Saccharomyces cerevisiae S288C: one gene and its partners. The gene in region 4 interacts genetically with the main gene of each other region. Each region holds a gene or a part of one and is shown on either strand. Other genes may lie near its edges. The genes, in order: YFL064C, DDR48, SFM1 and ECM15.

Evidence for each region.
Region 1: mutations in ECM15 (region 4) and YFL064C together harm fitness more than expected from each alone (negative genetic interaction), as found in Saccharomyces cerevisiae (one large-scale study listed by BioGRID).
Region 2: mutations in ECM15 (region 4) and DDR48 together harm fitness more than expected from each alone (negative genetic interaction), as found in Saccharomyces cerevisiae (one large-scale study listed by BioGRID).
Region 3: mutations in ECM15 (region 4) and SFM1 together harm fitness more than expected from each alone (negative genetic interaction), as found in Saccharomyces cerevisiae (one large-scale study listed by BioGRID).

What each region holds. Positions count from the first base shown.
Region 1 is NC_001138.5:2,745-5,545, reverse strand, and holds YFL064C (uncharacterized protein), read left to right. Parts: upstream 1-1,699; coding exon 1,700-2,224; downstream 2,225-2,801. Other genes in the region: YFL065C (uncharacterized protein), read left to right, coding at 2,208-2,516.
Region 2 is NC_001145.3:606,741-610,487, forward strand, and holds DDR48 (DNA damage-responsive protein 48), read left to right. Parts: upstream 1-1,948; coding exon 1,949-3,241; downstream 3,242-3,747. Other genes in the region: HOT1 (Hot1p), read left to right, coding at 1-1,400; PAI3 (Pai3p), read right to left, coding at 3,419-3,625. UniProt on the Saccharomyces cerevisiae protein: DNA damage-responsive protein that may be required for maintaining the rate of spontaneous mutagenesis. Shows low ATP and GTP hydrolysis activity.
Region 3 is NC_001147.6:372,294-375,076, reverse strand, and holds SFM1 (protein-arginine N-methyltransferase SFM1), read left to right. Parts: upstream 1-1,637; coding exon 1,638-2,279; downstream 2,280-2,783. Other genes in the region: DDL1 (putative carboxylic ester hydrolase), read left to right, coding at 1-1,367. UniProt on the Saccharomyces cerevisiae protein: S-adenosyl-L-methionine-dependent protein-arginine N-methyltransferase that monomethylates ribosomal protein S3 (RPS3) at 'Arg-146'.
Region 4 is NC_001134.8:236,640-239,308, reverse strand, and holds ECM15 (Ecm15p), read left to right. Parts: upstream 1-1,841; coding exon 1,842-2,156; downstream 2,157-2,669. Other genes in the region: alpha,alpha-trehalase NTH2, read left to right, coding at 1-368; HTB2 (histone H2B), read right to left, coding at 2,422-2,669.

The DNA of each region.
Region 1 (2,801 bases), on a different chromosome or scaffold from region 4:
GTATTGATACGCAATTGAGTGTGTTTATGTATTATTGTTGAAGGATAGAATATTTTTATGTTTAGGTGATTTTAGTGGTGATTTTTTTGTAATATTGGCATAAGTGTATATAAATTGAGTGGTTAGTATACGGTGAAAAAGAGGTATAACGTATGTATTAAGGGCATTTATACAATATTTGGGGCCGCGGAATAAGATATAAATATTAAAATGTGGATAATAGTGGGAGTTATGCGTAAATGGCACAGGGTATAGACCGCTGAGGCAAGTGCCGTGCATAATGATGTGGGTGCATTTGTACTCATGAAGTGAGAGATGGGCCATGGAGTGGAATGTGAAAGTAGGGTAAGTTGAGATAGTATATACTATTGTAGCATCCGTGTGCGTATGCCGTATCAGTATACAAGTGATGGTGAGTATGACAGATGGGGCATGGTAGGGTATTGGCAGGGTAAGTATGTGTGCATTGTTTACGATCATTTGTTAACGTTTCAATATGGAGGGTAGAACAACAGTACAGTGAGTAGGACATGGTGGATGGTAGGGTAATGGCAGGGTAAGTGGCAGTGAGGTTGGATATGGGTAATTGGAGGGTAACTGTTATGGTGGATTTGTGGGTTGGTGGTGGGGAGGCAGGGTAACGAGTGGGGAGGCAGGGTAATGGAGGGTAAGTTGAGAGACAGGATGGAAGGGTTGGATTAGGGTAGGGTTGAGGTAGTATTAGGGTGTGGGTGTGGTGTGTGGGTGTGGGTGTGGTGGGTGTGGTGTGGGTGTGGTGTGGTGTGGGTGTGGTGTGTGGGTGTGGTGTGGGTGTGGTGTGTGGGTGTGGGTGTGTGGGTGTGGTGTGTGTGGGTGTGTGGGTATATATATGTCACTGTATTGCATGCTGGATGGTGTTAGACAAGGCCGTAGGGACATATAGCATCTAGGAAGTAACCTTGTACGAAAATAGGCAATATTTCCTGTTTAGGCGATTGGGACGCAGATTTTAGTCCAACGATCTAGCGTCAAGGAATTTTTTTATAGTGGGACATTGCACCAAGGAAGTAACTTGATACGTCGTGGGTGAATGGGTCTGTTTTCTTATTCGGCGGGGTAATACATTTTTGGGGGAAGTTTGTCTGTCTGACGCGCCATATGTAGGTACGCCAAAAAGGGCTCCTCTACTTCGAAGCGCGAGGTCGTATACCTAATAAGGAAATGTAATTTATAACTTTCTATTATATTGGTCTTTTCGAGAGCGGAAGAAGTTGTAGGCTAAGCGCAGGCTAAGCGTAGGTCCATGTTTGAAGTATCCAAGAGAATATCCACGAATCCTGGTTCTCCTCGACTAAGCAGATAGTTAAGATACTGTGCACCATGGAAATTGAAAACGAAAGTGCGTACCGACTACTTTATTTTTGCAGGCCGGAAATCAAGCGATGAATGAGACATCCTTCTGTTTTCTATGTTGTGCTTGAAGGGGACAGACAGTCGCTTATCTTAGTGAGATTTCTTATTAACTGAATTTTCTTTGCTGCTGCTGGAGATTTGCACCTGCATAGCGCAGATTCTGCATCTTCTCAATAGCTTAATTATTACATTCTTAGATGATGATAAGACGGAAACTGGACAATCTTTTGTTTATATTGATGGATTTCTTGTCAAAAAGCATAACAATCAACATACTATTGTTAATTTCGAAACTTACAAAAATAAAATGAAAGTTTCCGATAGGCGTAAGTTTGAAAAAGCAAACTTTGACGAGTTTGAGTCGGCTCTAAATAACAAAAACGACTTGGTACATTGTCCCTCAATAACTTTATTTGAATCGATCCCCACGGAAGTGCGGTCATTCTACGAAGACGAAAAGTCTGGCCTAATCAAAGTGGTAAAATTCAGAACTGGTGCAATGAATAGGAAAAGGTCTTTTGAAAAAATTGTCATTTCCGTCATGGTCGGGAAAAATGTACAAAAGTTCCTGACATTTGTTGAAGACGAACCAGATTTCCAGGGCGGACCAATCCCTTCAAAGTATCTTATTCCCAAGAAAATCAACTTGATGGTCTACACGTTGTTTCAAGTGCATACTTTGAAATTCAATAGAAAGGATTACGATACCCTTTCTCTTTTTTACCTCAACAGAGGATACTATAATGAGTTGAGTTTTCCGTGTCCTGGAACGTTGTCACGAAATAGCGAGTGCCAGGCCGAACGACAGCTCTACGATGCGTACTTTCACTGACTTTGTTTCTGGCGCACCTATTGTAAGGAGTCTTCAGAAAAGCACCATAAGGAAATATGGGTACAATTTGGCACCCCACATGTTTTTGTTACTACACGTAGATGAGCTATCGATTTTTTCTGCATACCAAGCAAGTTTACCTGGCGAAAAGAAAGTCGACACAGAGCGGCTGAAGCGTGATCTATGCCCACGTAAACCCATTGAGATAAAGTACTTTTCACAGATATGTAACGATATGATGAACAAAAAGGACCGATTGGGTGATGTTTTGCGTGTGTGCTGCCCAAGTTGAGAAGAGATACTAACAAAATGACCGCGGCTCTCAAAAATAATTGACGAGCTTACGGTGATACGCTTACCGTTATCCAGAGCTACAGCGCAACGTATACGTCGACGATACAACAAGAACGGTTCATCGGAGCCTCGACTAAAGACGCTTGACGGACTCACTTCCGAGCGCTGGATTCAATGGTTAGGCCTTGAAAGCGACTACCATTGTTCATTCTCTAGTACTCGGAATGCGGAAGACGTAGTGGCAGGTGAGGCGGCGAGTTCAGATCATGATCAAAAAATTTCA
Region 2 (3,747 bases), on a different chromosome or scaffold from region 4:
AGAATAATGGCTCTGGTAGACAGCATACTGCTGATTTATGTACAGGAGATTCCAACACCCATTCTGGTATCAACCAGCATCGGACTACGAATGGAACCATAGATGTGAATACGAATACTGCACAGCTAAACAACCAATTTTCTAACGCACTAAATACTATCTTACCTGATCAGCAGCATAATCGAAATAATGTTTCCCAAAATATAAACCAATCGCTCCCTAACCGACAACTTGGTCCTGTTATAAACACACAAGCCAATCAGAACCAGTCGCAGGTTTTAATTCATAACACAAATACACATCAGCAGGTAAATCGCTCGCCTATTAGTTTCCCGAACGCTTCAACTGACAAGCCATTCAAGTTGAACCCAAATGGGATTAAACGGCGCAGAAGAAATACGCAAAGTAACAACAATGCGAGCACAAATGACCATGCTAGTGCTGCACAAAAGCCCATATCAGCCCTATCTCCATTAACGAATTCTCATAATTCTACAACTAGCATGAATTATACCAATTCTTCCATTCATTCAGGCGTCACCAGTGCTTCAAATTCATTTCATGACTTAAATTCATTGAATAACTTTGGCACGACAACAGCTTTAAGTTTGCCCAGCTTAGCCCTAGATAACGCTTCTTTTCCCCCAAATCAAAATGTTATACCCCCTATTATAAATAATACCCAGCAGCCTCTATCATTTTCCCAATTGATCAATCAGGATAGCACGACATCTGAATTGTTACCGAGTGGTAAGTCAGGGGTGAACACGAATATTGTAAATAGAAACAGAGCTTCTACTCTACCGTCGTACCCAAAACCAATGACAGTGAAAAGTAATGTCGACGATGATGGCTATCAAGAGGATGATGATGATGACGGTGATGACGAAGGTGATGGAAGGGATAATGAAGAAGACAGCACTGCTGAGGAAGATGAAGTAGATGATGAAATCGAAACAGATATGAAGAACGCTTCGATTAACAAGCGGAGGAGGAGCTTGCATCATAAAAAAAGTAACTCTTTAAACGGTAGAAGAAAGCTTCACGGCGAGTCGGCTACTAAGCCCAACATAAACTCTGATTTACATTATAGGATATTGAAGGCTCCCACTGACGTAAAGACTATATGGGAAGAGTATGATACTGGAATAAGAGGAAAGCCATCGATCAAGCATCTTGAGGCCAAGTATGGTAACAAGTGGAGGCTCAATAAAAATAAGAAGACCTTTTCAAGGCGAAAAAGATTGTACAAGTTCATTCTGAACGGTATGGAGAGAGGTAAAACGGCACAAGAGATGATAGAAACCTTAGAGAACAAAAGGCTATATAAAGATGATGAGGATGGCGAAGTAAAGAAAAGAACCATTGGCTGGTTGCAAGAGAGCCTTGCTGGAATATAGGCACGTACGATAGTAAATAATCGTTTACAATCATAGGAAGGAAGGAAAAAACAAGTGTAACATAAATACATTCTGTAAATCTACAAAAATCGTTAGTGCTGTTTTCTTTTTGAGATTGAAAAGTACGAATCATACACATCTCTTATTCTGAGAAGGGTGCATATGACGTAAATCAATGCGTACAAAGCGGTTTCCGGTGCTGGCCTGGCCCACCACAGTTTTGGCGTGGTTGATTTTAAAAACCTTCGGGAAGGTGAAAAAACCACTCCGAAGGTTCGAGGATGACAAATCGCCCCTTAGCTGTGGCCATACAAGCTTGGCACCGACGAAAAAGGGAAAAAGGAAAAGAATGTCGTACAAGAACTCTTACAACCACGTTGAGATTTCATTTAACAACGCCCCCCTTTCCATTATATAAGAAGGCATTAATTTTTATGTAATAAAAAAAGAATTTCTCGAAAATGTCTTACAATTAATTTTTTCTTTTGTAGAGTAGGGCTTTAATAGACTGATATATACGGTATTATAAGTGAACGAAAAAAACAGCAATGGGTTTATTTGATAAAGTGAAGCAATTTGCTAACAGCAATAATAACAACAATGATTCTGGCAATAACAATCAAGGCGATTATGTTACCAAAGCTGAGAATATGATCGGCGAAGATAGAGTCAATCAATTCAAAAGCAAAATCGGAGAGGACAGATTTGATAAGATGGAGTCCAAGGTTCGTCAACAATTTTCTAATACCTCTATAAATGACAACGACTCCAACAACAACGACTCATATGGTTCTAATAACAACGATTCATATGGTTCTAACAACAATGATTCATATGGCTCTAACAACAATGATTCATATGGCTCCAACAACAATGATTCATATGGCTCTAACAACGATGATTCCTACGGTTCTTCCAACAAGAAGAAGAGCTCTTATGGTTCTAACAATGACGATTCGTACGGCTCCAGCAACAACAATGACTCTTACGGTTCCAACAACAATGACTCTTACGGTTCCAACAACAATGACTCTTACGGTTCCAACAATGACGACTCTTACGGTTCGTCAAACAAGAATAAGAGCTCTTACGGTTCCAACAATGACGATTCTTATGGCTCTAACAATGATGATTCATATGGTTCTTCCAACAAGAAGAAGAGTTCTTATGGTTCCAGCAACAACGATTCGTATGGTTCTAACAACGATGATTCATATGGTTCTAACAACAATGATTCATATGGCTCTAACAACGATGATTCCTACGGTTCTTCCAACAAGAAGAAGAGCTCTTATGGTTCTAACAATGACGATTCGTACGGCTCCAGCAACAACAATGACTCTTACGGTTCCAACAATGACGACTCTTACGGTTCGTCAAACAAGAATAAGAGCTCTTACGGTTCTTCTAGCAACGATGATTCTTACGGATCTTCCAATAACGACGACTCTTACGGTTCTTCCAACAAGAAGAAGAGTTCTTATGGTTCCAACAATGACGATTCTTATGGCTCTAACAATGATGATTCATATGGTTCTTCCAACAAGAAGAAGAGTTCTTATGGTTCCAGCAACAACGATTCGTATGGTTCTAACAACGATGATTCCTACGGTTCTTCTAACAAAAAGAAGAGTTCTTATGGTTCCAACAACGATGATTCATACGGCTCCAGCAACAACAATGACTCTTACGGTTCCAACAATGACGACTCTTACGGTTCCTCTAATAGAAACAAGAACTCCTATGGGTCTTCCAACTACGGTTCATCCAACAATGATGACTCTTATGGTTCATCTAATAGAGGCGGTCGTAATCAATACGGTGGTGACGACGATTACTAAGTTTTTGGATGTCTTCGATAAAAAAAATATATTATTGTGTTTAGACTTAAGTATGAAAATTTTATGTATGAGCTGTGGCTATGTATCCGCTGGCAAATAGGTCTGCTTTTTCTACACTTTCCACCCTCAACCTAACAGAGCCCGCTGGCACAAATAATCGATAGTAGGACAACAGAGCTACTCCTTCTTATGCCCCGCCCCTTTGAGCTTGTTGTATTGCTCTTGATAGTTGTGTTTTTCACTTTCATCAGCATCGGTAGTCTTGCCGTCCTTGTCTTGACTAGCCATTTTCTTAAAAGCGTCACTCACTACCTTTGCATCGCCCTGCAATTTTTCCTTTGAGCTCTGAAATATTTCGCTCACTTTTTGTTGGTCTGTATTCATTCTGGATGTCTTGGTTGTAGAAATTTCTTTTATTGGTTCATTAAAGTCAAGGTAAATGGCGAGAACTAGAATAGAGTTTTATTCTTTTTACCGTTATATAGATAATTCTAGCCGGGGGCGGT
Region 3 (2,783 bases), on a different chromosome or scaffold from region 4:
ACAGTTCCAAATCGAGGAGCATTGAAACAAAGTTAGAAAAGAAAGTTTCAAACCTCTTCAATTTATCGGACTTTTTACAGTTGTTCAATGGTAATGCTAGTAAAGATCAAGATGATGCACAGAGCTTGGAAAAGCAAATGGAAACAGACTATAACAATGCAGATAACAGTCAAGGCGCTAATGCTAGTAGCAAAATAGAAGATGGCAAAAATTCGGGCGCAAGCGATAGACAAATTAGAAGTAACAGAAGAGATGTGGATAACTTGATACTATGCGTTCACGGTATAGGTCAGACTTTGGGTAAGAAGTACGAATACGTAAATTTCGCACACACGGTAAATCTACTTAGGTCTAATATGAAAAAAATCTACAATAATTCTGAGAAACTACAATCATTAAACACAGCACCTGATTATAAAAGCAACTGTAACGTTCAAGTGCTACCCATCACCTGGAGGCACTCGATAAGTTTCCAAACGGATGCTAAGGAGGAAAATATAGAAAATCCTGACCTACCGACTTTGTCACAAGTCACAGTAAATGGAGTGTTACCCTTGAGGAAGCTACTGGCTGACGGTCTACTAGATATTTTGTTGTATGTCGAACCATACTACCAAGATATGATTCTACAACAAGTAACCTCTCAATTGAACAAAACATATCGGATTTTTAAAGAATTTAATCCAGAGTTTGATGGGAAAGTCCATTTAGTGGGCCATTCGTTGGGTAGTATGATATTATTTGATATTCTATCCAAACAAAAAAAATATGAATTAGAATTTCAAGTAGACAACCTGTTCTTTATTGGCTCACCAATTGGATTGTTAAAGTTAATTCAAAGAACAAAAATTGGTGACCGTCCCGAATTTCCCAATGACTTGGAGAGAAAATTAACCGTACAGAGACCGCAATGTAAGGACATTTATAATGTTTACCACGTCTGTGATCCCATTTCTTATAGGATGGAACCTCTTGTTAGTAAAGAAATGGCTCATTACGAACAAACTTATTTACCACATTGTAGTGAAGCTTATGGACTAACTTCTAAAGTTTTGGAATTTGGCGAAAACATATGGAAAGATTTGCCAGGTACTGATGAAAATAATTTGCAGTCCAAAAAAACTTCTCCAGAAAAAAAAGAGGTCAAGTTATCAGAAAATCTTACGAGAATGCTTACAGGTTTGAATTACACCGGACGTCTAGATTATGCTATGTCTCCAAGTCTGCTAGAAGTGGATTTTATATCAGCTATAAAATCACATGTTTCTTATTTCGAAGAACCGGATATTGCAGCGTTTATCCTAAAAGAAATTTTAAGTAAACATGAAAATGCATCAGAAATATATGTAAAAAGAAAGACTGGTTGATCAGTAAACGCAAGGCACAAGTTTTTTTTAACTTTTTTCTTTACTGTCTATTATAGTTCCACTGTGTAAGGTTGTATTCTTTCCGTACTTCAACTTGCGGGTAACAGGATTGACACCTTTTCAATTTTTTCCGTTATTTTGGATTAGAAATTTTCGGTAAGCTCATCGAGTATTGTAAAAGAGCAATGCCCTTTGCTTATTAGATGTTGAGGGGCATATCTATTGTTAATATAGATTGATACAGCTGTGGAGATTATTTCTAGATATACGATGAAGTACATTATTGAGCATATGGAGGAAGGGTTTAGTGAATGGGTCATTTTAGAGTATAGCCAAATCCTGAGAGAAGTAGGAGCTGAAAACTTGATTTTATCATCGTTACCAGAGAGTACCACGGAAAAGGACATCCCTCAAAGGCTACTAAAACTTGGTTTAAGATGGACTACAAAGGATTTGAAGGGCATTAACGAAGATTTCAAGGATTTGGAACTGTTAAAAGATGGCAGAGTCTGTCTATTGGACCCTAGGGCTACAATCGATTTACAGCCGGAGGATGCTACGAAATTCGACTATTTCGTATTTGGTGGCATATTGGGTGATCATCCTCCAAGAGATCGTACCAAAGAACTAAAGACTGCCTATCCGAATCTTTTAATTAGCAGAAGACTAGGTGATAAACAAATGACTACGGATACTGCCATAAGAACAACACAGTTGATTATCAAAGACAGGATTGCATTTGAAGACATCAAGTTCATTGACTACCCTGAATTTAGGTTCAATAAAAATGAGGCCACGGAAATGCCATTTAGATACGTTTTAGATAAAGAAGGTAAACCTATTTTGCCTGAAGGGATGTTGGATTTGATCAAGAAGGATTCTGCTCAAAGTTTGGACGATCTGTTGATGTAGATGAGAACAGTCCTTTAAGTAACATTCTATGGTTGTAATAAGTGATGATGCTTCCTTGTCAAAGAGTTAGTTGAAAAGTTTAGGGTCGTAGCATTAATTATATTGTATATAGTTCAAAAACGACATTCAATGAAAAAATCAAGTTTATTAGCCAATGAATATTTCGTATTTTGCGTTAGTAGCGCTACCAAGACTTCTGAAAAGTGCATGCAAGAAAAATAAAAACAAGGAACCGTTTACTTTTATGATATCATCATTGTCAGGCCAAATAGGATAAAATTGATTGGTTGTATTATGCTTTTTAATTGAAAAAAAAAGTAGAAACTTTTATTATTTTATTTAAATTAATTTCTTTACATTACTTGCATCTAAAACCAAACGAGCTGGTGACTTCAAGCACTGCACTAGTTGCCATGGCTTTGCTAATTCAGACGACCCCCTTGAGGTGAAAAAATAGTCTCAGTAATGAAACAATCATAGGCAATTAGTTCGATTTTTTATAAT
Region 4 (2,669 bases):
GGGCGCCGCACCAAATATTAGCCTGGAAAGGTTTATCTGCATATGGTTATCAACAAGTAGCTACAAGATTGGCTTATAGGTGGCTGTACATGATTACAAAATCATTTGTTGATTATAACGGAATGGTGGTAGAAAAATATGATGTGACAAGAGGGACTGATCCGCATCGCGTTGATGCGGAATATGGTAATCAAGGTGCTGATTTTAAGGGCGTCGCTACAGAAGGCTTTGGTTGGGTGAACACAAGTTATTTGCTCGGATTGAAATATATGAATAATCATGCAAGAAGGGCTCTCGCTGCTTGTAGTCCACCATTGCCATTTTTCAATAGTTTGAAACCCTCTGAGAAAAAATTGTATTACCTATAATATTGACGAACATATGTAAATAAGATATATGTTATATTCTTCTTTCTATCAATAACCATGAGATTGTGCCTCAGTAATATTTGAGACGATTTAGAGTAAGGTCAAATATTATTATTAATCAAGTTGTGTAAAGGCTCATTTGTGAAGGTTAGAATAGTAATCGATGATTTTCAAGTAAAAGTGTTTGAAGGGCATTTCAGTAACATCTTCAAACTAGGAGTTTGTTGAGACAAAAAAGTCTGATTTTCATAAGATCATAACTTACGCTTTGAAGATCGTTATGAGTACCTTGTAGCTTGCCAGATCTTCTTGCTTATTCTTAAGCTCTTGGGTAGTACTGTATAAGACTGCTTGACATCGGGAACACTATCATTACCGTGTGATAGAATTCTCGTACCAAGCCGGTTCACCTTTGCGTGGTCTAGTGCATAGGAAGAATGACTAATAGAAAGCTTTCATTTCTATTAGTGTCTTAAATGCGAAGAAGGTATGGGAATCTATTACATACATGAAGAATATAGGATCTGTATATCGTCGTCACCGACGTAAGGTTTTTTTGTCAATTCTCGGTGAACAATTTTTTGCAAGAAATATATTGATACTTCTTGTTGAAATATTTTTCTTTTTCGGAAAACAAAAACATAAAATAATTATTTAAGAAAAAAAATTAATTAATAAATTTAAATAGAAAATCTTTTTTACTTAATAATAATTAAATAAATAAGTCACATGATTTATGTAGGATCAATTTGCTCAAGATTAATTTATTATTATTGATATTAGTAGGTGCCAGTTGAATAGCTATATTTTCAGTCTGTTTGAACGTTCTTTTTTTCATTTTCTGCTGAAAGCAAGTACTCCTACTTTTATTACTTTACATGTTATCGGAGGCCTGCACAGACACTTGTATCCTATACTATCAAGGTAAATATGATTGATTGATCCTCTTGGGAAATGGGATTTTAAGTTTTGTTAGCATTCTGGTTTGCCAACCTGTTGGTAAAGCACTATTTTTCAAGCTTTTGCAACGAGATTTGTCTCTTTGATTTTTTATTTATGATTTCTAACTTTTTACTTTTAGTTAAACTATTAAAGAATAATTTTCGCAAGGTACATAGCGATTTAAGTAGTTCAGAAAAGAAATTATTTAAAAATTACTCGCTCTCTTATTTGAAATGAAGATGGTTTTCAGACAAACTCCTACACAAGCTTGTTACTGGCTTTCAGTCCGAAAACAGCTCCAAACCCTTTAATAAAACCTTTCGTTTCTTTTACTTTTTATTCGAATTATATAGCTCTTTGACATTCCTTTTTTAGTATGATTCAAGCTCCCCTCTTTTCCACCCCGTGAAAAACAGAATATCATTAACCGGGATTCACTGACATCGTCAAAAGGAGAGATCAAGATATTCAGTTTTTGTCATTGCCGTCGTGATCATTAACTATAAAGCACATAAACTACAAGTTTAGAAAATGCCCAAGATCTTTTGTTTAGCGGACGTGTGTATGGTCCCTATTGGCACCGACTCTGCTAGTATTTCTGATTTTGTTGCACTCATTGAAAAAAAAATCAGAGAAAGCCCATTAAAGAGCACTTTACACAGTGCAGGAACAACAATTGAAGGGCCTTGGGATGATGTGATGGGTTTGATTGGCGAAATCCATGAATACGGTCATGAGAAAGGATATGTTAGAGTACACACTGATATTCGTGTTGGGACTAGAACTGATAAGCACCAAACTGCTCAAGATAAGATCGATGTTGTTTTAAAAAAAATTTCTCAATGAATGCTCGTGTAGTGAACCTAAATAGGGTATATCTTTAAGGAGAGTTTAAGAAACAATTTAATAATAACTGTTTGCAAAATATCTTTCCCAATTTTTTTTGTTTATAAAGTTATATATATACATTTATACAACTCCCTTCGGAGGCTGATAGACTAGACCCTTCCAATCATATCTGGACAAGTAACAGAACCCTAATGTTACAATATATAAAAAATGCCACTAATAAAAAGAAAACATGACTAAATCACAATACCTAGTGAGTGACTTAGGCTTGAGTAGAGGAGGAGTATTTGGTAACAGCCCTAGTACCTTCGGAGACGGCATGTTTAGCCAATTCACCAGGTAAGATCAATCTAACGGCTGTTTGGATTTCTCTAGCAGAAATAGTGGATTTCTTGTTATAAGCGGCCAATTTAGAAGCTTCAGTAGCAATTCTTTCAAAGATATCGTTAACGAAAGAGTTCAAAATAGACATAGACTTCTGGGAAATACCAGTGTCTGGGTGAGTTTGCT